Nothobranchius furzeri: one gene and its partner. The protein of the gene in region 2 binds, or shares a complex with, the protein of the main gene of each other region. Links are inferred from orthologs where the notes say so. Each region holds a gene or a part of one and is shown on either strand. Other genes may lie near its edges. The genes, in order: tcte1 and drc3.

The links.
Region 1: drc3 (region 2) and tcte1 share a complex: the UniProt entries of both Homo sapiens proteins name them as parts of the nexin-dynein regulatory complex. The link is inferred for Nothobranchius furzeri from reciprocal best matches to the Homo sapiens genes DRC3 and DRC5.

What each region holds. Positions count from the first base shown.
Region 1 is NC_091742.1:8,361,858-8,378,018, forward strand, and holds tcte1 (dynein regulatory complex subunit 5), read left to right. Parts: upstream 1-6,934; 5' UTR 6,935-7,015; intron 7,016-7,097; exon of another isoform or gene 7,098-7,232; intron 7,233-7,312; 5' UTR 7,313-7,334; coding exon 7,335-7,440; intron 7,441-7,546; coding exon 7,547-8,106; intron 8,107-8,466; coding exon 8,467-8,916; intron 8,917-9,496; coding exon 9,497-9,580; 3' UTR 9,581-9,919; downstream 9,920-16,161. Other genes in the region: E3 ubiquitin-protein ligase rnf8, read left to right, coding at 34-96, 232-321, 397-504, 591-795, 2,336-2,371, 2,642-2,811. UniProt on the Homo sapiens protein: Component of the nexin-dynein regulatory complex (N-DRC) a key regulator of ciliary/flagellar motility which maintains the alignment and integrity of the distal axoneme and regulates microtubule sliding in motile axonemes.
Region 2 is NC_091752.1:55,519,251-55,535,311, reverse strand, and holds the start of drc3 (dynein regulatory complex subunit 3), read right to left. Parts: upstream 11,620-16,061; 5' UTR 10,556-11,619; intron 9,779-10,555; coding exon of another isoform or gene 9,727-9,778; exon of another isoform or gene 9,621-9,726; intron 9,218-9,620; exon of another isoform or gene 9,077-9,217; intron 8,803-9,076; 5' UTR 8,793-8,802; coding exon 8,651-8,792; intron 8,569-8,650; coding exon 8,452-8,568; intron 8,371-8,451; coding exon 8,204-8,370; intron 8,104-8,203; coding exon 7,957-8,103; intron 7,213-7,956; coding exon 7,126-7,212; intron 7,047-7,125; coding exon 6,936-7,046; intron 6,842-6,935; coding exon 6,665-6,841; intron 1-6,664. Other genes in the region: TOM1-like protein 2, read left to right, coding at 9,727-9,778, 12,476-12,560, 13,702-13,780, 13,901-14,050, 14,376-14,510, 14,580-14,714, 14,815-14,931, 15,629-15,762 and 1 more. UniProt on the Homo sapiens protein: Component of the nexin-dynein regulatory complex (N-DRC) a key regulator of ciliary/flagellar motility which maintains the alignment and integrity of the distal axoneme and regulates microtubule sliding in motile axonemes.

The DNA of each region.
Region 1 (16,161 bases), on a different chromosome or scaffold from region 2:
TTTAAGTGAATCGTCTGTCTTTTATGCGTTTAGGAGCAGAAAACACAGCAGCAAGAGGAGCTAATGAAAAAACAACTTGAAGAGGCTCTTCAGGAAGTAAGAAGGTTCAATTAAACTAATTAAAAGCTGTTAACACATTTAATTTAAACTAACAGTTTTTTAGTTTATTTCTTTAAGTTTTTGATTAAATGTAATAAAAAGTTTTTTTGTGCCTGTTTTTTCAACAAACAGCAAAAGAAAGTGATCGACGAGCTTGCCGACTCTCGAAAAACATTTGAAGAAATCCTCTCTGCGAAAAACAAAGAACTAGAAGAAACAAAGGTGCCTGAAAGACACTTTTTAAAACACACATTTTTACCTTGGTTGTCACTTTGATTCATATTTTTTTTCCTCCAGGAGGAAAAAGAAAAGGCGAAAGCCCAAAAGGAGGAGGTAGTAACACAAGTCACAGAGGTTCTGGAGAACGAGCTCCAGTGCATCATCTGCTCAGAGCTCTTCATCGAGGTAGAGCCAGGAACCTGTTTGGGATCATCTTACTCACAAAAACCCGACTTCACCTGCTGAAATTAAAAAAAAATGTCCCTGTACAGGCGGTCATCCTGAACTGTGCTCACAGCTTCTGCTGTTACTGCATCAAGTTGTGGCGCAAGAAGAAAAACGAGTGTCCCATCTGTAGACAGGCTATCGAGTCCCAGACCCGGTGTCTGGCCCTGGACAACTGCATCAACCGTATGGTGGAGAACCTGAGCCTGGACATGAAGGCCCGGCGGCAGACGCTCATCACTGAAAGGAAAGGTGAGAGGTGTGTTCTCATCATCCACGCCAAACTCATAGAAATGAATCATCCATCTTTGATCTTCACTCATTTATTCTGTTGGAACGTTTCTTTAACCCTTACAGACATTGTTTATATATATATATATATATATATATATATATATATATATATATATATATATATCTTATTTCTGATTATAATCCGTCACTCTCGAGTTTTTCATGCAGGGTGCTTCTCAATGTCAAGGCGCCTTGCTAGGCCAGCAACAAGTCTGTTGTTGGTTTAGCTTCCAGGAAACAGCAGAGAACATGTTAGCTAGTAGAAGCTAACCATTAGCATTAGCTACATCACCACATGGCAGAACTCCTTCGGGCTTCAGAATCAGAAGGGTTTTATTGCCGTATGTGCGAGAAATCAAAACATTAGGAAATTGCTGCGGTACTTGGTGCAAAAAGAACAATAAAAATAAGAGATAAGTAAATATAGGAGGTAAGAATATAATCTTGATAAAATAATAATATAAACTGGCAATAATTAGAGAAACGGCTACTATATACAAGACAGTGTAGGTACTGATCAGAGCGGATCAGTTCAGGTACAAACAACACAGGGTCATGTGACTGAAACCAAGCGACTGGAGTGGGCAGCCCTAGGATTGTCGTTCTTGAGACCAACTGCAGAAGGGAAGAAACTGTTCTTGTGTCGAGAGGTTCTGGTCCTCCTGCCAGATGGGAGCGAGTCGGGTCAGCTGTTACCGACCTGCATGCCTCAACATCCTGGAGGTGTTCAGGTCCTGTATGGAGGAGAGTTTGCAGCCAATGACCTTCTCAGCAGAACGCACAACACGCTGCAGCTCCTTCTTGTCCCTGGTGGTAGCTCCAGCATACCACACGGTGATTGAAGAGGTGAGGATGGACTCGATGACTGCGGTGTAGAACTGCCTCATCAACTGTACTGGTAGGTTGAATTTCTTCAGCTGCCTCAGGAAGTACATCCTCTGTTGTTATGGGCTTTAGTTGTGACAGAGGTGATGGTGGGCTCCCATTTGAGGTCTTGGGTTAAAGGCCCGTGTTATTTGTGAAGATAAAGTATCAACGTTGCAAAGCAAATGGAGTCAGTGGTAGATTTACATTGATTGTATCCAATCAGAGGTGAGATGCCCAAATATCAGAATCAGATGGGTTTTATTGCCATATGTGCAAAAAGTCACAATAGGAAACTGCTACGGTACTTGGTGCAAAAAGAAAGATATATAAAATAGGATTTAAAGTAAAATGTCAGAAAGTATGACTCCAAAACCTGCAGTCCGCAGCTCTGCTGTGATGTGGCTCACTTCTAGTTCCTGGAAATGGTGCACCGGTGTTTATTGTCACCTCCCACTCCCCCTACAACTACAAGTCATTCATTGTCAATGTCGTTGTATGTATGTCTGATCTCAGAATTGTGTGTACTGAAACTCTCAATTTCCCTCTGGGATTAATAAAGTATCTTTGAATTGAATTGAATTGAATTGTATTCCCACTCTATAATATTTTTGCTGTTGTTTTCTTGTTGCAGGTGAGTCGACTGGTGAGCGCAACGCCATCCGATCAGGTCAGCAGAGACACTTTAGGGTTTTTCCACACTGAGATTCATTCTCTCATTCAGGCAATAATAGTGATTAAAGAGTAATGAAACTCATGACAGTCTAGTTAACATCCTCTGTGATGCTGAGCAGAATAAAATATTTCAAACACAAGATGGCAGCAGAGCAAGGAGAAACACCAAAGGTGTAGCGAGAAAAATACCCCCCCCCCCCCCCCAAAAAAAAAAGCTGTAAAGGTTAAATAATTTTCTAAGAGACGCTCACCTTGTGTTTTCCAGCAGCTGCCATCGCCGAGGTGATGGTGATCCACGACGACGACAGCAGCAGCAGCAGCAGCGACGGCAGCATGGTGTCCACATACAGCAGCTTCAGCTCCGTGGTCTCCGTGGATACCGACAGCAGTCTCCATTCAGAATCTGATGACAGCTCTTTGGAGTTTAGCGATTAACAGTTTTTTTTTTTTTTTTTCATTCTTTCTCCTTGTTGGTGGAAATGTGAAAGAACTTTTGAGCTTTCCTGGAATGTTTAGAATAAAGAGCTGATGTTTTTTTTTTTTTGTAAAATAGTTAATGAGTTTTTTTTTTCAGCAAAAGGAATAAAGTTTCTTTCTTGCATGTTTTTCATCTAACCGCTGATGAGTCCATTTTATAAATGAAAAAATTTAGATGGATCTGCTTTTTTTACTGGATTAATACAGAAAATCTTGCACAAATATTTTTAAGACTCAATAAATTCTCTTATTGACTGATATTTAAAGTCATATATGTAAACCTGTTACTAACAGCTGTTTTGGAATTTTTCATTTAATCTTTAATATTTAATCAATTTCCCTCTGGGATTAATAAAGTATTTTTGAATTGAATTAAAAAGTAAGTTAGGGAACAATTATGTTCTATTAAGTTAGCATAAATGAAACAGGTTTGTGTTTCCAGAGGATAAAGACTTATCCAGTATTAATGTTCAACCTTAAACTTGACTTTCTAGACATCTGCTGAGTCACCTGGGTGTGTCTCAAACTCAAGCTGTGATTTCTGGAAGGAAACACTCCACAGGTCACCTGAGCTCTGGCTGTTCCTGCCTCTTCAAAACACACAAGTGTATGGCAATTGTGTAATCATGCAAAAAAAGTGATGAGAAGTAATTTTTCTCTTTTTTAGTGTGTTGATGAAGGCATTCAAGCTTTAAGGTGTCAAAACAAAAGTTGCATTTAAAATGCAGATTAACATTTGCTGCATTTACGCTTAAAATGTTTTCCCCACAAATAGCAATCATAAAGAAACTCCCCATTTGCAGTAAACCCTTTTATCCTTTAAAGAGCAAGTCACCCCAAATAAACAATTTTTTTGCTGATAAACTAAATAAACAAGTGTCTAATCGTGCTGCAGACACGTGTAGTCAATAATTTGGCACTTCAGCGCATCTTAGTTAAAATGTAAATCTGCCACCGCTATTGGCTAAGAGGTATGCTTAGATGTAAACTGGTACATTATGATGTCACAGTGCTGTCGTGAGCCTGTGTGTGTGTGTGTATTTGTTGGCGGCTCCGCCTTCTCGGTCTGCCAGGCAACAGCATTTATTGCATTTTTCAAACAGGAAGTGGGAGTGGAGTGAGACTCTGGTAGGGGTTGACTTGCTCTTTAATGATTAAATGCTGTCTCTGTTGCCTAGCAACCAACGCAACAGTTTTTCTAGGCTCTGAAAGCAAATGGAAGTATGATGGCACAGGCTGTAGTGTGGGCACACATGGGGTCCTCATGCTGTGATGTGGACAGACGGTGTTTATTCTGTGTGGTTACTCCTTCCAAAAATATCTGTGTGTGTGTGTGTGTGTGTGTGTGTGTGTGTGTGTGTGTGTGTGTGTGTATTGTGTGTGTGTGTGTGTGTGTGTGTGTGTGTGTGTGTGTGTGTGTGTGTGTGTGATGGCATCATGAATAATGGCTGCATGTATCCAGCACTCCAATATGGAGTCTGTTGTTTATGTGAGGTAATTAATATGTGCTGTTTAAGAAGCATAAACTACTTTCTCAAACATTCAGATTATTTTAATTATTTATGACTGAAACCAGTTTTTTCTCACAAGACAACTTATTTATTCTGATTTATGTCACGCTAGTATTAATCTTTCATGTGGAAGGTTTTACTTACACATTAGTAATTTTCAACATTCCATTCAAAAATACTTTATTAATCCCAGAGGGAAATTGATTGCTGTAGTAGCTCATAATAATAATAATAATCAAGTCATCAAAGAGTTATAGTATGGCTGTTGGCAGGAAGGATCTCCAGTAGCGGTCAGTGTTGCAGCAAAATTGAAGAAGCCTCTGACTGAAGACACTCTTCCATTGTCGGACAGTCTTGTGAAGAGAATGCTCAGGGTTGTCCCTAATTTTCTTGATTCTCTGGAGAATCCTTCTTTGCATTATCTCCTCCAGTGGTTCCACAGTCGTCCCCAGAACAGAACCAACCTTTTTTATTAGGCTGTTGAGCCTTTTCAGGTCCCTGCTTCTGATGCTGCTACCCCAACAGACGATGGCTGAAGAGATTACACTCTCAACAGACTTGTAGAAGATCTGCAGCATCTTGCTACAGACGTTGAAGGACCTAAGTGTCCTCAAGAAGTGCAGTCTGCTGTGTCCCTTCTTGTAAACGGCTTCGCTGTTCTTACTCCAGTCCAGTCTGTCGTCCAGGTGAACTCCAAGGTATTTGTATTCCTCAACCACCTCCACTTCTTCTCGCGTGATGGAAACAGTGTTTGACTTCACCCTGTTTCTTCTGGTCTAAAATCATCTCCTTTTTGTTCACGTTCAAGGTCAGATGATTGTTTCCACACCATGCCACAAAGCGCTCCACCAGCTCTCTGTACTCAGTTTCCTGTCCATCTCTGATACACCCGACAACTGCAGAGTCATCTGAGTATTTCTGTAGATGACAGGTCTCTGATTTGTACTGGAAGTCTGAGGTGTACAGGGTGAAAAGGAATGGTGAGAGTACAGTCCCCTGTGGTGCTCCAATGTTACTGATCGCCTGATTTGATGAGCAGTTCTTCAGCCTCACAAACTCTGGTCTGTCAGGTAGTCTTTAATCCAGGCGATAGTTGAGGCCCCCACCTGTGTCTTCTGGAAAACTTAAATGTAGTTAACAGAGCTACTCCAACATGCAGCCACCCAGAGCAGCACGAGATTTGGAATCAGAATCAGAAATTTAAAATTTGTATTTCGTTAACTTTGGCATAAATCAGTACTGACTGACTACATCCCTAACCTCACCTATGGTCACAAGCTTGTACAGTGACCAAAAGAACGAGTTTGCGGATACAAGCGGCCAAAATTTGTTTTCTCTGCAGGGTAGCTGGGCTCTCCTTATAGATAGAGTGAGATGCTCAGTCATCCAGGAGGGGCCTGGAGTAGATCTGCTGCTCCTCCACATCAAGAGGAGCCAGTGGAGGTGGCTCCTTGGTGAGGTTTTCCAGGTACGTCCAACCAGGAGGAGAACTAAAGGAAGACCCAGGAAACACTGGAGGGACTATGCAAGGATTATCCCAGAGGAGCTGGCCCAATTGGCTGGAGAGAGGGAAATCTGGCCCCTGCTTAGGCTGCTGCCCCATGACCCGACGCCAGATAAGCGGACGATGATGAATGGATGGAAGACAACTTTGGACATATTTCAGCTGATTGCTGTTAATGTTTTGGGAAATTTCATTATATCTTAATATATTAACACTTGGTTTTACTGATGTAAAATAAATAAATAAATAAAAATGAACAATTACAAAATATTGCTACTGGATCAGCTTTGGAATGGTTGGTCTGTTCTTTATTCAACATTTTACTACGTTATTTCTAACTTGTTTTATCATGTAGCCTTAAAGGTGACTGACACACACACACATGTTCATGAAACCGTACAGCTCCCATATGGTGAAACTCTCAAAGCTGTGATTCACTCCTACAGTGACTTCACCCAGAGTGCGCAAAAGCTCATGGTTTATTCCACAGATACTCTGGTTTAACCTTCTGTGATGGCTGACGTCATGGTGGTGCATTAAAGCGCGTGCGTGTCAGACAGAATTACACAAAATTGCAGTGATGGACTGCCTCAAGGCTTCAGTTGCTGCTTTTCATCTTCCCTGCAGAAAAACACAGATAAATTTCCGATTGTTAACAAATTAACTTTGATTATAGATTTGATTTATTGTTATGATGAAAAAAACGTATGTAAGTCATGCAATCAATTTATTATTTTAGAATATTCCAGCACATTAATTAAATATGTTAAATATATTATTCTTTAAAAAGTGGCTTTAATAGTCACATAATTGTTTTGAATGTAACTGTGTTGCATTTAGGCAAAGCTCGGAAATTCTATGCACCCCTTCTAGATGGGGTGGTGTCTGTGTTTTTTTCCCTTAAAAATGTTTATCATATTTATAAAAATCAATAAAAAGTTAATAAAAATAAAATATAAAAACACAATTATATAATGTTCTTAATGTCACTTCAGTTTGCAACATATCTGAGCCACCTTACGACAAAATAAAAACACCTCACGATACCGCAAAATAAGGTTTGGGCGTTTTGTTGCCATAGAAACGGGTGAACGTTATCCTCGTTGGTTTTTTCCTTTTTCATTTTGAAACCGCAAAACGCTTTCATGTGAGTATTAAACTCCTAAATGTTGCTTTGTTTATTTTTATTTCCACTTTAAATGTGTTTTAGACAGTAGTGAGCTGACCCCATTAAGCTAACAGTTGTTTTAAAAAGTAAAAAAAAAAATACTTAGACCGTGGTTTTTGACTCGTAGCAAACGTTAGCTAGCAAATGATTCTACTTCCAGTTGTGTCGCTTATCAGACTGACTTTTTGGTGAACAGGTCAGGAAATCTTGTCACCGAACAGACGATTAAGTTAGCTAGTTGAGCTACAGGTAATTCACTGTGTTTTTCTTCACCAGAACCTGAAGCAGCCACAGAAAGATGAGCAGGAGGATCATTGCAGAAGACACAGACTGGCTTGTGCAGGTCACAGACCCGCTCAGGTTGTCCCACAAATGTCTGCAATGCATAGTGGAAAATTTCGAAGGTATTTTGTTTGTAATAATAATAATAATAATTAGCACACACAAGATGATTTTCTATGACGTTTATGGCTTAAACTTGTTTTCTTTTTATTGTTATTATTCTTTCAGTTGCTGCAGACGAACAGATTTTTACAAAAGTCACACCTTTCCAAAAACGTTACATCCTGGAGCGACTGTCCGTGAGTCTTCCTCTTCATGTCACTTCCAAACTGGTCCCTGATGGTGTTTACTGGGAAAAATGCTGCAAGCACAGGTGGTACGTCTGTGACGTGACTGATTATGACAACAGCTGGAAACAGATGTACATCGAGAGACACTTGGGTAGTGTGATTGAACTTTTCATCCCAGGTGTGACAGAACCAAAGACAGTTCTAGAAATAATCCCGTTTTGTGATAACTTTGTGAAGAAGCTGAGCGTCTCACAGCTGCTGCCACCTTTAAAGGAGCCTCAGGTGGAGGTGAATGTGGAAGAGCTGTCGCTTGATGAGCCTTGCATGGACCACTTTGACTTTGGCCTTGTGCTTGACAAGCTGACAAACTTGGAGGAGCTTCACGTGGTTTACAGAATCAAACAATGTGGGCTGAACTTTGAACGGAAGATGCAGGAGATGACTGATGGAGACTGTATATCCCTCGCCAATGCAGTCAAATCATCAAAAACCCTGAAGGTAAATATTGATCCTTCTCCCTACGATGCAGTTCTTTTTTAGGTCCTCATCCTTGCATGGGAAGGAGGATGGGTATGCACTTCTCTGTTATTTTTTAAAAACTGTCTGTGAGTAATGATTGCAGCATTTATGGAGCAGGAAAATCAACTTCTTGTGCTTTCTGGTTGAATTTTAAAAGAAAACACATTTGAGGGGATATGAGGGTCTCAAAAAGCCTTGTTTATGTTTATAATTCATTATTCTATATGTGCATTTATATACTGAAAAACTCGTATTAATACTTTCTAGTTGCAAAACTCAGGAAATGCCATACTTAGATGAATAAGCTACATATTTTTCAACAAGCTAATACTTCTCCAGGTGCTGAGGCTCCCTGTAAGCTGTATCAATGATGAAAAGTGCTGCATGCTGATGTACCACCTTATGGACTTCCCCATCCTGAGGGAACTTGACTTATCTCACAACATGATTGGAAAGATCGGAGGCTGTGCCATCGCCAAGCTGCTCATCAGGAGTAAACTGGAGGTCCTCAAAATGTACAACAACAGAATCGGCGATGTGGGATCCAGCGCTATAGCTGAGGCTTTGTCCAAGAACCCTCCTCTTTCGTCCCTCGACCTGCGTATGAACGAAGTGGGAGACAAAGGAGGTGAGGCCATTTTCAAAGCTCTGCAGAAAAACAACGTTCTGCTTCGCCTGCACATGGGAAGCAATGGGTTAACCTCGGCCACAGTTCCCGTTCTGTCTGACATGCTGAAGAAGAATGAAACTCTGAGCAGTCTCGATTTATCTGGCAACAAGCTCGATGAGGTAAGTTGTTCAATATTTCATTGAATTTCCACCTAAACAATCGTTTCACAACTCCCAGGGTTTTTATTTAAACTTGATTTGAATTCCGTTCAAAAAGGGATAATTCAGCTATTTGGAAGGGAGTTACCAATGTACATTGTTGCTGTCTTAAAACGCCTCCAATCTACAAAAGTTCATTAGTTTTATTCAACATGCATTTTTTTTTACATGGAATTCTATTATTTACAAGAGTAAAAATCACCAGCAATGTCCAGTGCATCCAGAGATCACTTTTAGGTATTTTTAGACATGAAGAAAGTGTGTGAAAATGAGCAGAGTTAAGTGTTTTCCCTGGAGAGACAAATCCGAGTCTGAATCTTTTTCAAGCTCTCTTCTTTTACTGGAAAACGCACGGAGGATCAAAAGTCAGCCACACAGCAGAAACATAATATGCAGCACCATCAGTATCTCTGACCCTGGTCTGGTCCTCGCAAAAATAGAAACGGCTTTTCAGGCAAAACACCAATGACGACGGCCACGAGCAGTTTCAGGATCATCCGACTGGAGGACATACCAGATTTATTCCCTTTGTGTTTTTCAGGGTGGAATTTTAGGTTTGAAGACAACGATGTTCAGAAACAAGATACAGAAAGAACTAGAATTGGCGGGTCAGAGAAAGGAATGAGAGACACGCCGTCCTCCTCCACCGTCATCAACTCCGTCTCAAACCTGAAGGTCAAGGAAATATTCAAAGTGTTCAGAACTCTTAACTTTGAAATTAATTTAATTTTATGAGTAGATTTTTGCAGAATGTTGGGAGAAAATGTATGTTTCTTCTTTCAATAATTTCAAAGTTCCAAGTTTTTCACCGTTAATGTGTGTTACAGTATGTTTCTTCTTTCAATAATTTCAAAGTTCCAAGTTTTTCACCGTTAATGTGTGTTACATCAGCAAACTTTACCACAGGTTTGGCAAGATAAAACATTTTTTGCAAGCTTTTGAATAAAAAATGTTTTTTAATCAACACAGTTTTCCTCTTTATAGGTTTATAGGATAATACATATTTCATATGTGATGTTTCATTAGAGAATCCATTCGTAAATTTAGAAAGATGGAGCATTTCTTTGAATGATCATTTCTTTTTATTGAATAGAATTACTTTAAAGGGATACTATGCAACTTTTTAATATTTTTAAATCATTTCCTTAAGCCAGTATGTCGAAAAATGACCCTTTACTGGGTTAATGAAATGTTACTAAGACCACACCGCCCCTTCTGTGGCCAGAACACCAGACTTGCAACTTCAGAGTTGCCAGTCCGCTTCCTGCTGGTGGAGAAAGCCGTGGAGTGGAGCTGGAGTCTGCCTCCAGCACGTTTCCTGAATGTTTTTAGATCGTGAACACAGCTGATGTGTTTGATTTAGTGATGAACTGCTCCTGTAGACACTAATGAAGGCTGAGGAGACATTTCAGCTGTTAGATGAGGGCGTTAAAAAGACAAACACACAGGGAGGACATAAGTTTAATTTTCTGTTTAACCACAGTGAATTAATGTTGGACACTAGGAGGTGCTAAAAACAAACAAAACTGCCTAGTATCCCTTTAATCCAGGTTCATTCATTCATTCAGATATTTGATACTCAGTCCTCCCTAACATAAAGGCAGCATTGTGGTAGTACTGGAGTATATACAGACTTTATTAGTCGTACTCATGTCGTATTTTTCTAGTTTCTGGTATGTTTCCTTGCTGTAACTGAAGAAAATCCTGAATCAGAAAATCAGAAAAAGCTTTATTGCCAGCGCTCCAGCGAACCAGAGCATAGGAACTTGACTCCGCAGCACAGCCTGACCAAGGTTACACACACACATGTAGACAGAACAGATACAGGCAGACCACGAGAGCAGCCATGACGGCGGTCATTTCAATAGATGAAAAGGGGATTACATGAGGATAAATTGGGGGAGGAGAAAAAAAGGCACACCAGAGTTACTCCCGGCAGGGCGTAGCTTTACTATGCAAAAAAACGCCTCAAACATATAAGCACGAACATCAACAATTCACAACATGAGACACCGAGAGGAAGGCGGTTGGGGGGGGGGGGGGGGGGGGGGGGGGGCGGGATCCTGTTTCTCCAGCGAGAGCAGCCCTATGGCGCTCAGCAACTGTAGCCACAGGTGGGAGGGAGATCTTGGGAGGAGCGCAGAGCACATTGACACCTGCAGGTTGATGACCTCGCCAGGCTGAAGTCCACCAATCATCGGGGGGGTAGGTCGGGTTTTCACAGCATCTGTCTGCATTCCTTCGTGGGGGGTTGTTGTTGGCATTCACAAGGCTGCCATGGCATCAGATTCGGATAACAAGACATCTCCACACTGTCCAGTGACCCTCTCCGAGATGACATCCATTTTGCGCACTAATACCGGTATCGCAGCTAGAACATTGACCAGCTTACGATTCACCTCGAGTAACGTCCCAGTCTGTGAGGTCACCACATGGACGGTGCTTTCCGTGGGTGCGGGTCGCCCTCCAATCGCTCCCGTCTTCCCAAATTTCCAGAAAACCAGATATCCTCCCACTCCAATCAGAAGAAATCCAGTGATCATCAGGCCAAATATCCACACATCTTCGACATCCTCAATCGACAACTGAGACAGGCATACGATCTTCCACTCCCTCCAGGAATCGAGCATATATCGTGCTGCGTGTGTCCCTTGCGGGCAAGTGGGAGCCCCCTCCTCCATTCTCATCGTAGAAAAAATCTTGTCAATCGCGTTGAATGACCAATTAATTAAATCCATTCTAAAAAATAGGGTTTTTCAGAAGAAATGCAGAGAAGCGCTCTGTGGGCAGACAGGACAAAGAGCCTTGGGAAAAAAAAGATAAGGGAGCAAAAGCAGAAGCGTCTGTACTCTGCGAGAGCCGGAAGGTTAATATCCAAGATTTGATCTTAAGCAAGCTGAAAAACCATCCTGAATTTAAACAACCTAAACTTGTCATGTTCCCGAGACGAGGTGAGTGACACCATCTCCACTCTAACTGTGATTGAGCTGATTTCCCACAGGTGAGGAGCGGAGGGGGGTGGCAGCTGCAGGAGATCCCAGTCAGGAACTCGGGTTTAAAAGGAGGATGGAGACACCTCACTACGCCGGACGATTGCACCAGTTTAGGTAGCCCCAGCCCTTTATTCTCATACTTGTTTGCTCGCTTTGTCTCGTTTTGGATACTTGGACTTTGACCTCGGACTGTTTTTGGATTATCCCTTACGCCTGGTGTTTGTTTCTCTTCATTCAGGATCCTCACTCAACCTGCTTCACTCTCGCTGTTTTTGTACTCTGGATTCATACACCACGTCCCATCCTCCTCCGTTGTTCCTGTTGGCCCCTCTCTGCGACCTCACCCATCCCGGATCGTTCACCCTCTGCCCAGCGCTCACCTCAGCTCCCCCGCCTCCCTCATTCATCCCGAGTGCTACTTGGACTCGAGCTGCACCGCTCACACCCACAGGACTTCCCTGTGCTATTTTTGTTCCCGTTTATTAATAAAGAACTTTTCTTTTACTGAATCTGCCCAACGAGTTCTGATTCTGCATGTCTTGGGTTAGGCACTTGCCTCAAGTCATGACAAAACTATTCTGACTCCTCCCAGTTATTAATAAGCTAGGTAGGTTTGAAGTAAACGATCATTAGAAGAAGTGTATTTCTGATCTGGAACATTCAGGTGTGACACAAAAGCAAAAACAGAGTCTGAAAATGGGCAAAATACTTTTTCTCAGCAGTGCACATTTTATTTTGATTAAAAAAAGTTTTCTAAAACTGCATGCACTAAAAGTATTTTTGTGTGCATTATATTTTAACTCAATGGAATAATCCAATAACGAACGTACAAAAGATGTTCAAAGAAATCCAATGATGGTCTTTAAAGAGCAAGTCACCCTCTACCAGATTCTTACTCAATTCCCACTTCCTGTTTGAAAAATGCTACAAATGCTGTTGCCTAGCAGACCAAGAGGGCAGAGCTGCTAACAAATACACACACACACACACACACACACACAGGCTCGCAATGACATTGTGACATCATAAGGTACCATTTGACATTCTAGGGTACCTCTTAGCCAATAGCGATGGCAGATTTAAATTCAAATGCAGTGCAGAGTTTTTACCTGACGACGACACAACACTGACAGTTTTAGGCAGAAAATTAAAATTTTAACTAAAATGCACTAAAGTGCAAAACTATTGGCTACATGTGTCTGCAGCACGATTAGACGCGTATTTATACAGTTTATCAGGAAAAAAAGTTCATTTGGGGGTGACTTGCTCTTTAAATGTGTTCCCACTGTGTTTAAAAGGACATTTAGCTTAAAATATCAAAATAAGTTAGTGAGTAACATTATGAAAGTGACTGTGCTGCTAACTGCAACGTAGCAAACTCTACTTATCGTACAGTATGTACATCAGCTCTCCCTGCTGCCATAGCCTCAAAAGTCTGTGCGTGCGTGTGTGTGTGACACATTCAGCCAAGCACATATTATCATCAGCAGGTATCCCACATGCTCAGATCTCTTATTTACAGTACAAATTCCTTCATTTCTGCACAAAGATTTATACAAATGTAAAAAGCCCCAAAGCCATTTTATATAGTCCACCTGACAGACACGATAAAGGGTTTAGTGCTTTGCATGAAAAGAAGCTTTTCTTCTAACAGTCATCTTCAGAGGAAAAGTCAGAGTTATGAGTGTGTCTGTTCCATTTCTGCTCCTCCACTAATAGTGATGTAAACATTATACCAGTAAACAGTTTCTCTATGTTTAAATATCACAGTGAGGCCACCTTTAAGGCCTTTTGGCTGATGATGATGATGATGATAATGATGATGATGATGATGATGATGATGATAAATTAGTTAATGGAGTGATTTTCAAAAATCCAGCATTTTTTCAGCCTACACAAGTTAAGATGAATTTAATGTTTGTTTGTTTTTAAAGTGTGGAACACAGAAAAACATTTTGAAAATCTTATTTCTGATTCTAATAGGTCACTGTGAGGTTTTTATGCAGGCGGAACATGAAAATAGTCTCCTACACCCATCTCCTGCATTAGCTTCTGATAGAAAATAGATGATGAAACTCTAGGATTAGAAAATCCTAACAGATCCACGTCACTTTGTTACTCAGCATTCATGAACTCACGACGGGGAAGGCTGTTGTTGGTTTAGCTTCCAGGAAACAGCAGAGAACGTCTCCACTAGTAGAAGGTAACCATTAGCATTAGCAACTCCACCTCACGCCAGAATTGGTGGCTTGATAATAAAACATCAACGTTGCTGTTATTCAGTCAGAGGTGAGATGTCCAAATATCAGGGAATAAGACTCCAAAACCGGCCGTCTGAAGCTCAGCTGTGATGTGGCTCACTCCTAGTTCCTAGAAATGGTGCACTGGTGTTTTTTGCCCCCAAGTACAACTTACAAGGCATTAATTCCTACTAGAAATCACTGCAAATGTCCTGATTAAACGAGTGTTCCACACCTTTAAAAAAATAAATGATCAGTTGTGTGATTAGGATGGGGTTGTCTGTGTTTAATGACACATGCAAATCTCCACTGACTGACTAATCTGTGCTGTAACACAGGGATATTTGATTGATCTCAGTGGGTTGTTTATATTTTAGTCAGACCGCTGCTTTTTCAGTAGGTTGCTTATGAGCTCAGCTTTAAAAAGGACATTGAGAGCAGCTTGCATCAGGCATCAACACTCATTTTTAGTCTCTATAAATAATTTCACAAACTATTTTAGCGCTTGGAGAACAAGTTTGTAGACAGGAGGTATAAGTTGTAGGAAACATATCTGACATAACACATTCTGGCATGTTGTTTAATATTTCCTTTCAGAAAACAAGTCTCCAAAAAATCTTTTTTTCCTTTTTTTTTTTTTTTTTTGTTTCCCAAGCCAAAATATTTCAGTCACTATACAACAAAAACATTTTACAGGCATGGTAAAAACACCCCCCTCCCCCTTGTTTTTTGTGTTTGTACTTTTCAGAGCAGTTCTTTATGGGTAAACATCATCTCCCGGTACATTCAGCAACAGTCTGACCTTCAGGTGAACTTTCTGGGATCTCCATTCCTTGAAATACTGACAACTGTTATTACTCAACTTGAAAATAATCCTTAATAGACTCAAAATTGTTTCAAATAGAGGTCAACTGATGGTGTTTCTTCTTTTGCCCGATACCAATGCCGATATGTAGAAGTCATGGTCAGCCGATGGCTGATATGTGCTGCCCTTTTTGGTCGTTTCCACCTTACTCTCATGCTAAAATGTCACTAAAAACATCAGTTAATGCACACAATTTCTGAAGCTGAATCAGTTTTTGAAAACTGAATTTAACCAACTGTTAAATCTTAAATTTAAGCACTGCTCAGTGTTAAAATCAGACATCTAAGTAATGTTAATCAAACAATCAGTGAACTGACCTAGTATTAATTATTCAAAACTGGTTTATAAAAGGAAATTTTAGTTGAAAATCATTTTAGAGCATTTGTTTTGCAGATGTTATTCAGGAATGTAAATATACATATAAATTCAGCAACAGCTCTGGGCTGCCCAAGGATTTGCCTGTCTTTAAATAGGCTTTACTAAGGAGGTATATCGACCGATGCTGATATATTGGGTTACCCCTAGTTTGAAATTACCGTTAGCCCATCCCTAGCGCAAACACACACCTTCTCCTTTGAACAAATAGAGGACGTTTTGTGTTTTCCACACAAAGCTTTTGCTTGTTGGCTTTATTTTTGATGGAATTGAGTGTTTTTCTACTTTTAAAATTACATTTGAAGCCTTTAAAGAGACAATGTGTAGTTTTCACCATTAATCTCAGGAAATATCCATCGAAATGTTGTTGAAAATGAAAAAAATGGTGTGCATTTGTTAAAAAATATTGGCAACTTTGTACCATATAACCATAAAAACCAGGTCTGATGTACATAAAATGCAGATCTAGCGTCTTTGAGGGACACACCATGTTTCCTTCTGGCCGGCTCGGGGTACTGTGCCTGTCGAGGACGTCACTAGTCTAGATGATTTGCTGAACGTACGACTTACAGAAGTTAAATTACCATATTCAAAATCATTTAGGCAGTAAGAAACACAAATTTATTACCAAAACTGCTAAACTATTTCCAAAACAAATGTGAAAGAACAAAATCAAAAAAGAAATGCAGGATATTTTGACCGAGCGGTATTGCCGTAGTTCGACATAGTTGGC
Region 2 (16,061 bases):
GGTTCCCTCTGGAAGCAGCATCTGACATGGCTTTGTGGAGGAAGATGTTGAACTCGGCAGGTGAGTTAGAGTAGCCAAAGGGGCAGCGGTTCCAAGTATATTGGCGATTTCCAAAGGAGAAAGCCAGTTTATACTGGTCCGCCGGCTCAACCTTCATGGTCCAGAAGCCGTTGGCTACGTCAACCGTAGAGAAGAAACGAGCATCTCTGACTCTGGCTAGCTCCTGATCTAAATGGATCATAGGCCACCTGGAGAGAGGTACTTGTTTGTTCAGTGCACGATAGTCTATGGTGAGACGCCATTTCCCAGTCGGTTTCAGAACCGGCCAGATGGGAGAGTTGTAAGTGGAGTTACACTCTCTGATGATGTTTTTCTCCTTCAGCTGATCGAGGATCTCCTGGATCGACTCATAAGCAGCGAGGGGAATCTTGTACTGACGTACAAAAGTAGGAGGGGCATTCGGGTTCGTTGGAATGCGAACCGTATGCAGGTTTGTGAGTCCACAGTCCAGGGAGTCCCTGGATAAGATGGACTGAAACTCATAGAACAGGCTTCTAAGCTCTGCTCTCTGCTCCTCTGACTCCAGCGCATCCGCTTTGTCAAGCTGCTGGCTGACTTCGGCCTCGAAGCCGTCATAAGGTTCAGAGGAGGAGGGTCTCTGGTGTTCGGGGCTTTCAGCCGGTGACTCAGAGGGTTGAGTATTTATTGCAAAAACCGTTAGACACTGACCACCGTCAGTATCTAAGGTTGCACTGCAAATGGGTTCCTCAGGAAGGGCTTCATGCCGCTTGATGGTAATCATTTGTGAAGGGAAAGTACTGAATGTGTCTACACCAACCTGTCTGTCGTTCAAGAACAACGGAAGTTGTCCGATCACGGGGACTGACAGTTCGAAGTCATGGAATGAGCTATCTATCAGCATGCCCAAGGGCTTTCCTGCCGGCATGTGGATAGGACTCCGGGTCGGATTTTCGACCAACAAGTAGGCAGAACGATTGTTCAGCTCCAAGAGTGGCGTGCCACAGACGGCTAAGTTGAGCTCCAAGAAGTGCGGTGATGGCTGGAAGAAGGCCTGTGTGCCTGGCAGCTTCTGATGCTTCATCAGAGTCAGACGAACAGGCACCCCTTTGACCAATGGGGGCAGAACCGTGCTGGCTTCAACCACTGCACGGCAGGCCTGTGGAATGGCCTGACCGGACAGCAAGTGTTCAGGGCCTTCTGAGCGAGGCTCAGAGGATGGTGTGGCTCGGGCCCAAAGGACTTGATTGCAAGTGTCCAGCTGGGCACCGAGTCGAACCAGCAGATCTGCTCCAATGAGTGCAGGTGGATCAAGCTGTGGTATGATGCTGAATGTATGTGTGAGCTGTCTTGCTCCAAGTTGGATAGTCAGAGAGCAGACCTCTGGCGCTTTCAGGAGCCTCTGCGGCCAAGTAGGTGACAAGAGCCGATGGCTACGTGTCACACTGACCAGAAGGGGGTCCTTCTGACGCAGGTGTTCAAACGTCTGCTGGCTGATGGCTGACTTTTCAGACCAAAGAGCAAGGCGAGCATCTGAGATGTGGGTGCAGTTGATGGTAAGACCACCAACTATGTGTGGTGCATATGGCTGCAGGCTGACGTTCTTCAGCGAGCAGAGAAAAGATGAATGTGTGCGGAACGGAGTTCCAGGAGCGGTTTCATGCCTTTGCAGGCGGACATCGTCTGTGGGAGCCGTAGGGAGGGGCATGACCTTGGAACAAGGGTTTTGCGGCTCACTTATGCTGACCTCAAGAATGGAGGATGGTCGGCTGCTATCTGGGTTCCAGGGCTTAGGTGTGTCCACCTGGGCCCACAGTTGACCCTTCTGGCAGTCGATGAGGGGAGCTAGACGTTCAAGCAGGTCCTGACCAATGAGAAGTGGTTCAGTGTCTAGCTGGCAGACATAAAACGGGTGAACCAGAGTCATGTCTTGGAAGGTGATATCCAGCCACGCCCGGTGAGTGATACACTCCCGGGTCTGGGTGTAGCTGGTGATTTTCAGGTCACAGGGTTCTACCTGGACTGGTTTCCCGAGCGACCGCATGGTGTCAGACACGCGATGGAACAATGTGGAGCACATCAGGGTGATTTCTGAGCCGGTATCCAGCAGAGCATCAACCTGTATGCACCCACCTACGTTGGTGCTACAGTACAAACGGCGAGCATGATCATGGTTTGTTAAGTCACCAAGGAACTTCAGAAATTTAGTATCAGGTTTCTCTGGGGGGTAGATTTCAGGAGACTCCTGTGATCTACCAGTAGTGTTCCCCCAGCTGATCAGGTAGGTCCTGGCCACGCTGGGAGGTTGAGCCACGCCTAGTCATGCGGACGTTGGCTCTGGGTCTGGCTTCTTAGAAGAAGACTTTGGTGCAGGGGTCTCTCCTGCAGATCTCAGCTGTTCCTTCTGTTTAGCTAGGAACTGCTGAAACATCTCCTGGAGGTCGGCTTTGGTCAAGTACTCACCTGCGGACTTGTGTTCGGGACCTACCTGTGGGCGGCGCTCCTTAAACCTTCCACTGTTCCAACCTACCTGCCGTTGGTTTTGGTTGGGCCACTTCCTGTCTGATTGTCCAGACCTAGGCGGCCAATCAGCACCCCCCTTTCCCTGTTGAGGAGATTGGGACTGCTCTCGCGGTTTAACAGGTCTAGGTTTAGCAGATTTTGGCTTAGTGGGTGGAGCTTCTGTGCCTTCGAGCTCCAAACGCGGCTCGGCGTCGGGAGCAAGGTGCATGACGCGGTGATGTGCGTCAGGCTTTTGGGGCTTTCCGCCGGCTTCCCAAGCCTGTTGAGCGTATCTCCTAATCTCCTGAGTTGTCAGTTTTTTCATCCGACAATACATTGAGACTTCGGATCGAACACACTCGTGCAGGTTGTGAATGAACAGGGATCTGAAGGCAGGGTCTTCCTCGAGCCCAGGGCCGTTTCGACCTTGGAAATAAGCACTTTTGAGTCGGCGATAATACTCTCTGGGGGGTTCGTTCCTCCCGTGTTTGATGGAGAAGGCCCCCATTGTAGCTGACGCAGAGTCTGCATACGTGGCGTATTCATCTCTCAACGCTCGGCAGAGCGAGGAGTACCGATCTCGAATGTCAGATGGTAGAGTTTCCATGAAACCGTGCACCGTTCTAGATGTGGTTTTCCAAATTAGCTTGAGCTTTTCCCTTGAAGAGGGTGCTGGAAGATCAAGCAGACAACGTTCTATCTCCCTGAGATAATCGTCGACGTTGGATTCATTGGTGTTAGGATCAAAGCGTTCTATGTCTTTAGCTATCGATTCAATTTGACGTACACGGAGCCCTGACTCACGGTACGGCGCGTCATCCTCTGACTCTGACCCACGGTCTGTCTCAGAAGGCGCTGGATATCGCTGGTGTGCTCTGGGCTCCCAATGTTGACTCCTGGGGCCCAAATCGGGGTTCGGCATGTTGTGGCGGGCTGCTGGCACGTCACGTGGGTGTCTTGGGAGGTCCTCCTCCCGGGGCACGTCTGCGTAGTGCAGCCTGCGTCTTTCAACTGGGGCTTCTGCGTAATACGCTCTGTCCGGGTACGGACTGGCGTATGATGCTTGGTCATGCAGCTGGTTATCGGCATGCCGAATACCGGAGTAGCTAGGATGGGTGGATGGTTGAGGTGCAGCTTGGGGTGCATAACCCCAATCGGCACCTTGCACCCTTCGTGGACTGGGGGAGCGGTCTAAATAGAGGTGCCGCTCAGCTGGTCGACTTCTCACTGATTGAGAAGGCCGTGAAGATGAGGGTGGTGGTCCAACCTGGGGTTCGAGGGCGAATTGCCCTCGGCCCCTAGGTGGTCCTGAATGCCCTATAGTGTGTGTAGGGAACGGGGCCGAAGGTTGGGACAGATAAGCTTCATCTCTCCCCTGCGGCGTGCGTCCGTCCAGAGAGTCATGGTGTTTCCCCCCTTCCCACTGTCTGTTGTCATCAGCAGAGGGGGGCGGGGTCTCCTCCCCATCTTCCCCAGAATCGGTGCGGGTGTCGTCTTCCTCGATCAGCCTTCCATTTCGCTGTTTTTCAGCTAGCATACTCTGGAGGTTCATGATCTTCTGACCACGTTGGAGTCCTCTCTGATAGAGGATCAGGGCTAACTTAGCCAAGTGAACCTGGATTGGTTTAGTACCATCCGGGTTTTCTATTTGATCAATTACAGCTTCTAGCTCGTCGCTACGCTGTTCTTCAGTGAAATCCCTAGAAGGGTAGTCGGGTTCTCGAGCAACCGCGACCAGTTTGGACAATATTTGTCCAGAAAGTAGGCCAGGTTCATAGTCGTGGGCCGCAGCGCCACCTGGTTGCTGGGAGTTGGTCAGTTCACTACTCTGTCCCTCCATTTTTAACAACCGAACCAAAAATAGCCTAGTAGAGCTTCTGCAGATAGCTCAAAGCTGCACCTTTTGGCAGCAACTGCTAGTTTTGTAGCAGAAAAACACTAAATTAACCTTTGTGCGCACAGGTTTTAGCGTTTTAAAATTGCACGGACTGCCGTGACTGATGCTTAAAATACTATTCCTTTCAGTATTTTAGCAAAAGCTGGTGCGTTGCCGTAGCAACGTCTTACAACACTTGCAGTGTTAAATATGCTAGTTATTCCTTCAGAATATTAGCAAACAAGGTGTTATCAGTCTTTGAGTGAAGGTTTCAGTTAGTTACAATAGCCACTGTGAGTTAAAGTCGCTAAATTAGCAGTTAATTTTAGCCTAAAAGGGTTAGTCAGAATTACTTACATGCTGCACCTTTAATGAGGAACTGAATTTTAACCTAAAAGGTTAGCCAGAATTAATTACACGTTGCACCTTTAAGGAAAAACTGAATTTTAACCTAAAAGGTTAGCCAGAATTAATTACACGTTGCACCTTTAAGGAAAAACTGAATTTTTAACCTAAAAGGTCAACCAGAATTAATTTACACGTTGCACCTTTAAAGAAGCACTGAGTTACTGGTGAGAGTTCGATGCAGCTTCCTGCTCAGCGAAATCAGCACCACTCTGTTGCTGGTTCAAGGCTGAACAACGGATTATTTTTAATTCAAGCTCTTTGGATTTATTTGTTTGTTTGTGCCGGATAGAAATCTCTGTGTATCCAAGCCTCACACGGGGCACCAATTAAAATGTTGGGGTTATTAGGAGCGAACAATTCGCAAGCGTTAACTTACTTTTGGATTCTTCAATAAATTCTGTAAATATGTAAATATTTACTGATTTATTAATTAATTAAGATATTCTTAGATATACGGGGCACCATTCCCCTTTTTCCGGGGAAAAATTGAATCCAAAACTCTTATCAGTCTTTCTTGAAGTTCGTAGAATCCTTGGAGCAGAGACTTCTCTTCGACACAACAAAGCTACTGGACACAAAAATCTGAATTTTATAACATTTAATTAACAATTTGTCAAATGAATAAACAGTGGAATAGATGAATAATAACCGTGTGATATGATTGAAGATGGATGTGTTTGCATGTGATGGAGGATGTATGAATGGGGTCCTTTGTTCTCACAAAGGAGTAGTGTGTATGTGTGTGTGTGTGTGTGTGTGCGTGTGTATGGATTCAAAATGGAGTCTTGAATACAAGATGGCTGACCCCTTTGTCTGGCTAAAGTGTGGGTGGCAACTTGCACTTTAACTTCCAAAGCACTTAGAATCAGTAGTAACTTAACCTTAAATCACTCAAAACATTTCAAAGGATCATGCAACAACACAAAAGATTAATCACGAGTTAATATCCTTAGTTTATCAGCCTGGCCATGGCCGAACATTTAAAGATACCAAACAATGATTAATAAGCAGTTTATTCTTCAAAATGACCCGACGGACGTGTTTGGGACGAAAGAGGAAAACACGAAGCTACTTTTTAAGCAATAGACGCGGTTTATTGCTTATTTGAGACTATAGAGGAAACGGGAGAAGAAAAGGAGAGAAAAAAAATGAGTTTCCTGATCACCAAAGCAGCAAGGCGTCCCCCGCTGTTATGACTTGACGGTTCTCCGTTTTTCTCCGCAGTTTCCGGCGTCATCCGTCGGTTTGATGCTTTCTCCGTTGTTTGGCGTTCACGAGTGTTTCTCCACGGGCTGGACAGAGACAGCAAAGTTTCTTTCTGTGCTGAGTTATAACTTACAGCGTTTCTGAGAGCTGGATGGAGTTGTTGTTTCCCTCCGCGGGTTCTGTGTCCTCAAACATCAGCTGGAGGGGAGCAGAAACGAGCAGATCAGCGGTCCCGTGGGCTCAACTTGGCTCTTAGAGCTTCCGCGTGCTCAAAGAAGTCGGAACGTTCGACAAGCGTGTCCTCACCGCCAGGTATCCTGGGCAAAAGAACGAGGTTTCTTTGTCTCTGCTGAAGATTTATGGTCTTAGTTCGCGGGAAAAGTCCACGGCTTCCCGCACATGCGCAGAACGTGTTTCTGGTACTAGGCGGTGACGTCACCCAATGCTTCCGTGTGCAAAGCATCATGGGAAATGAAGTTTCTTGGCGCTGATGTGATTATTTGCTTTCCAGAGCAATTTAAGCACAGTCATTTTGGAGAAAATCACTGCATAGTAATTTCCTCATGAGGTCAGACCCTCAACACCATCTATAAACACATTGGTGGTGCACTGCTTTCCCTCAATGATGTCTTCTTAAAAGCAGAATCTACTTGCCTGTGTGCGCTGTTCATCAAACTCTGCGAGTATCTGAGATGTCTTCTGCTTGTAGAATGTCTCCACCTCATTCTGGCCACTGTAAAAGGACCTCAGCTCTGTCTGTCTGCACCTGTGCTCAGCCAAGCCCACTTCAAACAAGTGCAAACACAGCTCCTTCATTTGGACCTCTAATGTAAGCGCACAGTCAAGGACTCAATAGACGATTTGATCGTGGTTTACTGAGTGTTAAATAAAAACATTGACTAAAAATAAAGCATCAAAGATATGTTTGAAGCAGTGGAGCAACTTCTGGGAGGCAGTGTGGTCTCAATACTTCTGGATTGTCTTTAAACAGGCTGTTAAACAAACTCGAACCATCAATATCCTCCACAAAGGCATTCTATGAAAACAAAACAAAACAAGAATAACTTGAACTGCAAAAAACCTCATTAAATGTTGTACATATTTTTTATTTTGACCTCAGCTTCAGTTCTTTGCTGCTTCTGATTTTTCCGTTTTGCAAGTTCATGGAGCTGCTGCTGGTATTTCATGGATGCCTCTTCTCTCTGTAGAAACACATTTGAGGATAAGTAACTCGGCAATAAAAGAATATTGATATACGCGTGCTTTTAAAGGTGTGGGAAACTTGTTTGATCAATACGCGTAGTGGTCTCTGGTAGGAATGAATGCCAAGAGCCCAAAAACACGGACCAGCACCGACAAGTCTGCTGCAGCAGAAAGTGGCACAACATGCCAGGTTTTGGAGTCTTATTTCCTGATATTTGGTTTTCTCGCCTTGGATTGGATAATAACAACTCAACTCTACCACTTGCAATGTGGATGTATTATCTCCACGCAAGCCTGGAGGAGTTTTTCCTGTATGGCCGTGTTGCTAATGCTAATGGTTAGCTTCTACTAGTCGGATTGTTGGCTTCCTGGATGCTAAAACTACAACACTCTTCCCTGTAGTGAGTCAAGTCAGTGTGACGTCGATCTATTAGCCTTTACAAATCCTAGATTTTCTCCATCTATTTTCTAATGCAGGAGACTATTTTCATGTTCAGCCTGCATGAAAAACATACAGTGACTGATTATAATCAGAAATAATAATTAAAAAAATGTTTTTTCAGTGTTCCACACTTTTAACTAAAATGATGTTCCTTCGGACTCAATACAAGCTGAATCCTACTGTTCCTTAATAATATAAGAAGGGGCCAAAAGAAGAGAAAACGTTTCCTCAAGGGGATCAAAAACATGTAAGGAAGGATAAGGAGTTAACAAAAAGATGTGCTACAATCATTTGTACTTACAATCTCTATGTTAATCAAAGTGTCGTCAAGGTATCTTAGCTTTGGCAGAAAGGCTACAGAGAACAAAGTGTATTCTTCTCCATCACTGACAGGATTTCCAACCATGTAGAGTTCGTACAACTTCTTCATCCTCGTAAGATAGAGTACCTTTAAAATGCATAAGTTGTGGTAGTGCAATATTTTACTCCAAACTACAACTTTTACAAAATAATCTATTTTAGTCCTCACTCAGGAAGGGAAATCTTACATTGTCCAGGTCTTTGATGAGGTTGTTTGCAACGAGGAAGTGACTCAGGTTCTGTAGTGCATCCATGTTCTCCAAGCGAGAGATATTGTTGTTGGATAAATTCAGCACTTCAAGCTTTTTCAAACCATCCAGGCCTTCAATTTTTGTGATTTTATTGTAGGACAGATCTAAAAGAAAGAATCTAAACGTGAGCATTCCACTGATCAGATTCTTACCAGTGTACACACATTCATGACAAGATTCCTCACTGAGCCAGGTGAGATTATAGAGGCTGTCCAGGCCCTCGATCTTCTCTATCAGGTTGTGAAACAGGTCAAGTTTGACCAGAGATGTGAAGTCGTGTAGAATGTCAATCTTCAGGATGTCTGTAAACAAATCAGCTCACACATAACCAGACACAAACACCTCGCATTGATCGATTAGTCGATTCAAATGATCTGTTCTCACTTTTCAGGTTCAAGTGTAACTGACTGATATCACTCATGTCAACAGTTTGTTTGCCTCCACAAAGTTTCTTGATGTTTAGGGCTTCATCCCTTGTTGCATCCATCAGCATTCGCGTGTTCATCAGAGTGGGCTGTGAATTCATCACGTTTATCCTGTTTGGAAATAAACACACACTGGGCTTTAATTTACACCCTAAGTTATTGTGTTAAGTTAAATTTGTTCAGTTAAAATTATCATAAATATTGGACGATGTGTAAAGGACTGGCTCTAACAGTAGCGTATACGGAAACGTCTTACGAGATATTAAACACGTTATTACAAGAAAGTTTCTTGTTAATACGTAATAACGAGGTACTGATCCTTCATTTTCCCCTCCGCGCTTCCCCAGCTTGTGTGAGAATCGAATATTTTAACAATAATACTCACCACTGACAACTAAAAAACGTAGTCACCGCTCTTTTTTATAGGTATAGTGGGTAAATAAACGTTTAGACCAACGGATTACACGGACAGTACGCCTTGTTACTTGTTACTTAGCAACAAGTAGCGTTTCAGATGCGTTCAGGTACGTCTAAGACAAAGTGTTAAAATAAAACATCAACCTGTTCCACTATTATGTAGGTTTGATTGCGACATTAACACAACTTAAAACTAAACTTAGTTATCAACAATGACTTTATGTACATTTAATTTCAGTTAACATGTTTTAAAAGACCAGTACTCGCTAAAATATTACGATTCTCTTGTCGTTTTATTTACGAAAATAATTGATTTTCATAATTTTAACGCTTTGGCAAATTGTTTAACTTTAAACCGGTGAAAGGATTATTTAAAAAAAAGAAGGAGCAAAATGAGATTTCGTAGAGAAAAACGCGTTTTGTTCTAATATAGCTTGGAAAACTTTGTTGACCAGAGCTTTAGGATACCAATTATGACTGACAATAATTTTAACCAATTGAATTGAAGCTTTGCGTTTTTCGTCCAATAGGGTCTTTGTGTAGGCGGGGCCTACAGGTACCGCCGCGGCCTCTGGGCCTCAGCCCCTGTCATTCCCAAGCGGATCGTTTGTTGTCAAAATGGACTTTTTACTTGGAAATCCTTACAGCACTCCTGTTGGCCAATGCATAGGTACGCCATTCGTCAATGTTTTGCCAAATTATGTGGCGCTTTCTCTTTAGAGCATATTTTTAAACGTACTCTTCGTATGAGCGGAAAAAGCGAGCTGGCTGGCATCTTTTCTAGCAAACGTCATCTGCGTGGAATGAGCTCCCAGCTAATGTGTTAGCTAGCACCTCTAGATAACTTTCGTCCGCCGCTAACAGTCACTCACAAAAGCTCTATGCGTTTGTTTGTCTTAAAACTTTCCAGGGTGTGTGTTTTTAAATAAAAAGTGTGGCTCTGAGATTACGCTAATGTTGCTGTCAGTCCCTGAACGATAGATGGCCAGATTCCTTGGTCAGCCTTGTTGTCCTGAGCTAGAAACCTTCACGTTCTTGTCCAGCAGATATGAAACAAAGCATGTGTGAGTCTAACACATTCATTTGTTGTGACTTCATCAGTTAGCACAACCTTAGATTAGGTCAGTTGTTACCAGTGTCTGATCGATCATTTATGCAAATGATGGAAACGACCTATTTTTTTTACATGAACCATAATCAGAAAGGCTTTGAATTGACTTTATTTTCACTTTTCTTTCAGTAACAGTGTTATTGCTCGTCTTCAGCATTTCCTAGAGTTGTCTCTAGATCTCTGCAGTTCATCCTCTCCAGGCTGAGGCTTTATTTAATCAGATTTCTGTTGCCCTGATAGTAATTTGTACTCTTCAACGGAGAGGACAAGTCATCATTTCACCTGGCTTAAAGAAAGGAGACGCTTCATAATATGACTAACAAGAGTTTAACTTACTGAAACAAGTAGATGAAGGGAAGTCACTAAATACTATAGAAAACACAGGTGCCGACCGGTGGTGCTGACAAGTTAAATAATGGAAGGATGAGGCTTGAAAGACCATAATGAAGAGAGATGGCTCAGAGAGGGACTTTGCAGCTTTTGTTGGCAAGTGCTTGGTGCAGCTTGGCACTATTAAAGCCACGTGATCACCACCGTTGTGTCAGTGTACCAGGATCTAGAAGGGAGGTGACGCCACACCATAATGAATTATTGCTTTTAACTTGTCTGCACAGCTTTAATTACTTGGGGCCATTCTTGCACATTTTACAGTTTGTTTGATTCTGTCTTCCTCTCTCCTTTCGTCACTGTCCTGCTGTGACACAACAATCCACTTGAGGAGCTTACTTGAGATGTGACTGAAGGAGAGGGTTTAATTCTTCTAGATCTACACTCGAGACTCAAAATCAATGGAGTTTAAGAGAATATTATGGCAGTAATTTCATTTAAATATAAAACAACATCCCTCTCTTGTACTTGGCTTGTCTTCAGATGATTAGAAAGTAAAACTTTTTTTAAAATAAATCCTTTGTTTACATTTATGAAGGTGTAAGATTCTTTGTTATTTCCTGTCTGTAGCTAAAATTAGCCTTAAACAATGGTGTGGAATGTGAAACTTAGACTAGTGTTGTGTGGCTTCTGTTTCTGACCATTATTACAGGTTATGGCTGAGTACACAGCCACATCACATCGAGTTTATACGTCTTTTTACACAGTCCTCACATTCCTGCTTTATTCTGTCAACTTACTAAAGTTCAAAGCACGAGGTTGAAGCCCAGAGACTATGGATGTTCCGATCATGTTTTTTTTTGCTCTCGATCTGATTTTGAGTCTTTTAATTTTCAGAATCTGCCAATACTGAGTCCCAATCCGATACATGAATACGAATGCATTAACGATACGAAATGCATTAAGAAAAAAGGAGAACACTATAGAGTTCTTTCTTTCTGTATTTATGACATTTATTTATTTTATCCGCTATAAAACATCACTTGTTTAGGAAGTACAAGAAATGCTCTGGACGATGCCATATTAGACGCCATGTTTCCTTCTATGGGAGCCGGTGAGGATGAAATGCATTTACCGATTTGTAACAAATGGTTATAATGTGGTGCGCGTGGTTCTGACTGCCATATGCATCGCTAAGAAAACTATCCTCATGAATTGGAAAAATAGAGATACTCTTTGCATTAACCAGTATAGAAATCTTTTGTTAGATCATATTACACTTGAGATAGCTTCTGCTTCCGCTTCAAACCAATCTCACTGGGCTCCTTTGATCGGTTCCATTATATGGCGATGATAGGGGGTCATTGATATTGTCCTGCGGGTTGATGTGGGTGATGGGGCGGAGGGTCTGAGTTTGGAGTATCCAGACGTTCCCTGGAGGTGGGTTCACTGGGGCTGGGGGGCTGCTGCCCCCCTCTGGAAGTGCTTGGGTTGCCTTGGGGGTGGACTGCTGGCGGCTGTGAGTGGGGCCCCTTGGAGGGTCTCGGCGGTGGCCATGGGTTGCTGCCTGGCGGCTGCATCTCCCCTGAGTAGGTCTGGGTGGGGGCCTGGGGGCTCTGGGTGTGGGGGCAGCGGGTCTCGTGTGGGGGGGTGAGAAGCTCGGTCACCCAGGAGGGGCTCGTAGTAGATCTGCTGCTCCTCCACGTCGAGAGGAGCCAGTTAAGGTCACTCGGGCATCTGATTAGGATGCCTCCTGGACACCTCCCTGGTGAGGTTTTCCGGGCACATCCAACTGGGAAGATACTGTAATTATTTGATTTAAAACCAACATTTTGTTTGTTGATGGTGTACACTGTATCACTTTATGATCATAAAACAATATATTTATGGCTCTGCTTGGTTTTTTTGTTGTTGTGTGTTTTCCTCCAGAGCGAGCCACCGATGGCGGTCTGCAGAGTGAGGACTGGAGCCTCAACATGGAGATCTGTGACATCATCAATGAAACGGACGAAGGGTGAGCAGGAAATAATTCATGTTTGGAATATTTTCAATCTCCTTCGTGTCGGATCACTGCGGATATTCAACTTCAGAGGGCCGTTCTCGTTACAGCTTGTCATGAGACTGGCTCGTGTCAGACTGACACCAGATAATACACTAACTACTGTCCATCTCACACAAACGCTTTTGTTCTCCACCCGAAATTCCAAATGAATGAATGAATACGTTTAAGTCTTGGATCAGCCTCCTACACAAAGCAACGTCCAGCCTGCAGGGCTCTGCTAAACCCGATCGTCACTTCTTCATAGCTGCTATTTCTACTCAGAGGCCAAAAGGATTTAATTCAATCCTGAAGTAAGTTTGAGAACAAAGGTGTCAGTTAACACATCGAACGTTTGGATAAAGGTGGCTTCAGATCCAGTAAATGTCACCCTTAATAATAAATAAAGGTGTGAAAAGGTTTTCTATCGCTTTCTCTAGTTTCACATTCCTCCCTCCTCCGTCTTCACACGCGACACGCAACCTTCTCCGTCACCTCGGAAACGCAGAACATCTTTAAGACGAGATGTTCAGTTTAGACAAAATAAAACGGAACCAACTGGTGACCTCTGGAGCTCCTGATTCAGGAGATTGTGTTGCCTTAGCACACACTTCTGGTGATCAGCTTTTTAAACGGCGTGACGACAGATGGTGCGAGAGCAAAACAGATGCTCCAAAGAATGTTTCCACACGTTCATGTTCAGTTTTCTTTGCACGAAATGTCCGTCACCGTCCATCTTTACTGGTTTTATTAGCCTTAATAAGTAACCTGGACTGTATAAAAGAGCTGATGAAGTCTTTTTTATGCCTCGTCTTCTCTGAGGAGAAGGGGAGCGTCGGGCATAGAGCCAGCCCGAACTCTTGATGCGTGGACAGCTTTGATCTCGCCTTGGGAGAAACATTCTGTAGTCGCGCAGAAAGGAGCGGAGAAGAAAAGGCAGATCCAGATGGCGTGACAGCTCTTCACTTTCTGTGTCAAACAGTTACGCTGACAGACTGACTGGCATCTGTTCCTGTGGCACAGGAAGAGAGTTTATTCCAACAAAGTCGGCGATGTTGCGCTCGCTCCCCGCGTGGGCTCCTAATGAAGCCCCAACTTCTCTGCTGTTTCTTTCCAGGCCAAAAGACGCCATGCGGGCACTGAAGAAGAGACTGTGCAGCAACAGGAATTACAGAGAGGTCATGCTGGCGCTAACGGTGAGAAGATGGCTGAGTGTCTGTTGGCAAGCCAAGAAGCCTCCAATCTTCTTGCAGTTTGCTGACAGAAGCTTTTTAGGATGTTTCTGCAGAGATTAACGACGCTGTGGCTTCCTGTAGGTGCTGGAGGCCTGTGTGAAGAACTGCGGCCACAGGTTTCACGTTCAGGTGGCCAGCAAAGACTTCATTGATGGCGTTCTGGTTAAAATCATCTCCCCAAAGACTAATCCACCAGCAATCGTGCAAGACAAAGTCCTGTCTCTCATACAAGTAATCAGGCCTCTGCTCCCGGTTTTTACCACCTGCCACTAAACGTCAGACAGTAATGTTGGTCCTCTGTTAGCTAACTGTCACAAACCACTGGACGCATTCTAAGGAAAATTTCAGAAACAAACAGCTTTTATACCAAAATGCTAATAGATTTTTTTGAATTCTCAGAAAAGAGAGTAAATGGTGTGAGAGAAAAGAGATTTTTAGATTTTTCACCCAAAAGTTTGGCTTTTGTGACTCGCTCCACTGATGTGGCTTTTAGATATTTATTATTATTGTTATTGTGAAGAGAGAATCCAGAGCATGTCTTTGTTTGTTGTGACAGTCCTGGGCGGATGCGTTCAGGAGCAGTCCTGATCTGACCGGTGTGGTCCACATTTATGAGGAGCTGAAGAGAAAAGGCATCGAGTTCCCCATGGCAGACCTGGATGCTTTGTCTCCCATTCACACGCCTCGGAGAGTAAGCAGGAACGCCTTCAGATCTTTATTTAAGTGCACGTTAAGTGTTACTACATGATTTTATTCACAGGGTACACCGGAAGTGGATCCAGCCATGTTAAAGTACCTGGCTCCCGTTTCTCCTGCTGCTGGGATGCCTAAAACCGGCCCTGCTGCTCCAGCCTCCACAAACGTCCCCAACCCCATCACAGCAACACCTGAACAGGTGAGAGGCGCTTCCTGCAATGCCACTGGAGCCGTTTCATTCGTGGATTTTAATCCAAGTGAGGCGTTGGTGAACAGAGTGATCCTGCTTGTGCTTTCAGATTGCCCGTCTGCGGAGTGAGCTGGACATCGTGAGAGGAAATATCAAAGTCATGTCAGAGATGCTAACGGAGATGGTCCCCGGTCAGGAGGATGTCTCGGACCTGGAGCTGCTCCAGGTCCACCTTCAGCTTTCATATAAACACATTCAGCGCTCTTAGGCTGTGTTTGACATGACTGACTGTTAGCAGGTGTATTTGTCTTTATCTGACTTTTCTGTGTTTTGAGTTTTATTTTGAAGGATATTTGATAAGATATATATAAGATATATATATATATATATATTGATAAGAAAATCCTTCACTTTTTGTGAGATGATCTAAGATGAAAAATACAACCTTGAAAAAGAAATCCGTGCTGCATTTGCCCTTTAACGTCACCTACGGAGCCAAAGACGTCCTGTTGTAGTGCTTTTCATCCACCAGGGGGAGCAGTGTTACCAGTTTTTGCTCCTAAAACCTGTCAGGAGGTGAAGGAGAAGCGTTTAATCTCCTCTGGACAAATCCGCTCAGGTATCCATGTCAGCTTCCAGGATCTGGCCTGGTGCACACCACCCTCTGCCAGCTGTAATTATTATGGGATGCACTTTTTTTGCTTCCTCCTTTTTCCATCTGAAGCAGAACATAAGAGGATCGTCTAAATACAGTAAATGTGCAGCGTGGGTTTCTGTTTCCAAGCCCCATCTGAGCAGCTTTACTCCGCGCTGCTGACAGAGGGTTTGTTTGGTAGTTGGCAGACTCGTGTTTCTGCGTTTGTGTCTGCTCTGCTCGTTTCTTCTTCCTGTTGATCGGTCTGTTGGTGCATCAATCTGCCCAGGAGCTGAACCGAACGTGCCGGGCCATGCAGCAGAGGGTGGTCGAGCTGATTTCTCGCGTTTCCAACGAGGAGGTGACGGAGGAACTGCTGCACGCCAACGACGACCTCAACAATGTCTTCCTTCGATACGAGAGGTGATCTGGATCAAACAGGCTTTGCTGCAGCTATGAGTACTTCTTAAAATGACTCATTTCATTCAGGAGAAAAACAACATCACTGTTAACTCTTTCATCCTGAGCAATCTGTCGTTGCTTTGATGCCTTTCATCGGGTTTTGTGAAGCCGTGTGAACATCTGAAGCTGAAAACGTGTGTTCTGTGTTGCTCACAGGTATGAGAGGTACAGGTCTGGAAGGGCTGCGAAGAACGGCGGGGTAAGGGCCGTCAACAGATGCTTCAAATCTAACCAACCTAAATCAAATGCCTCAGTTACTC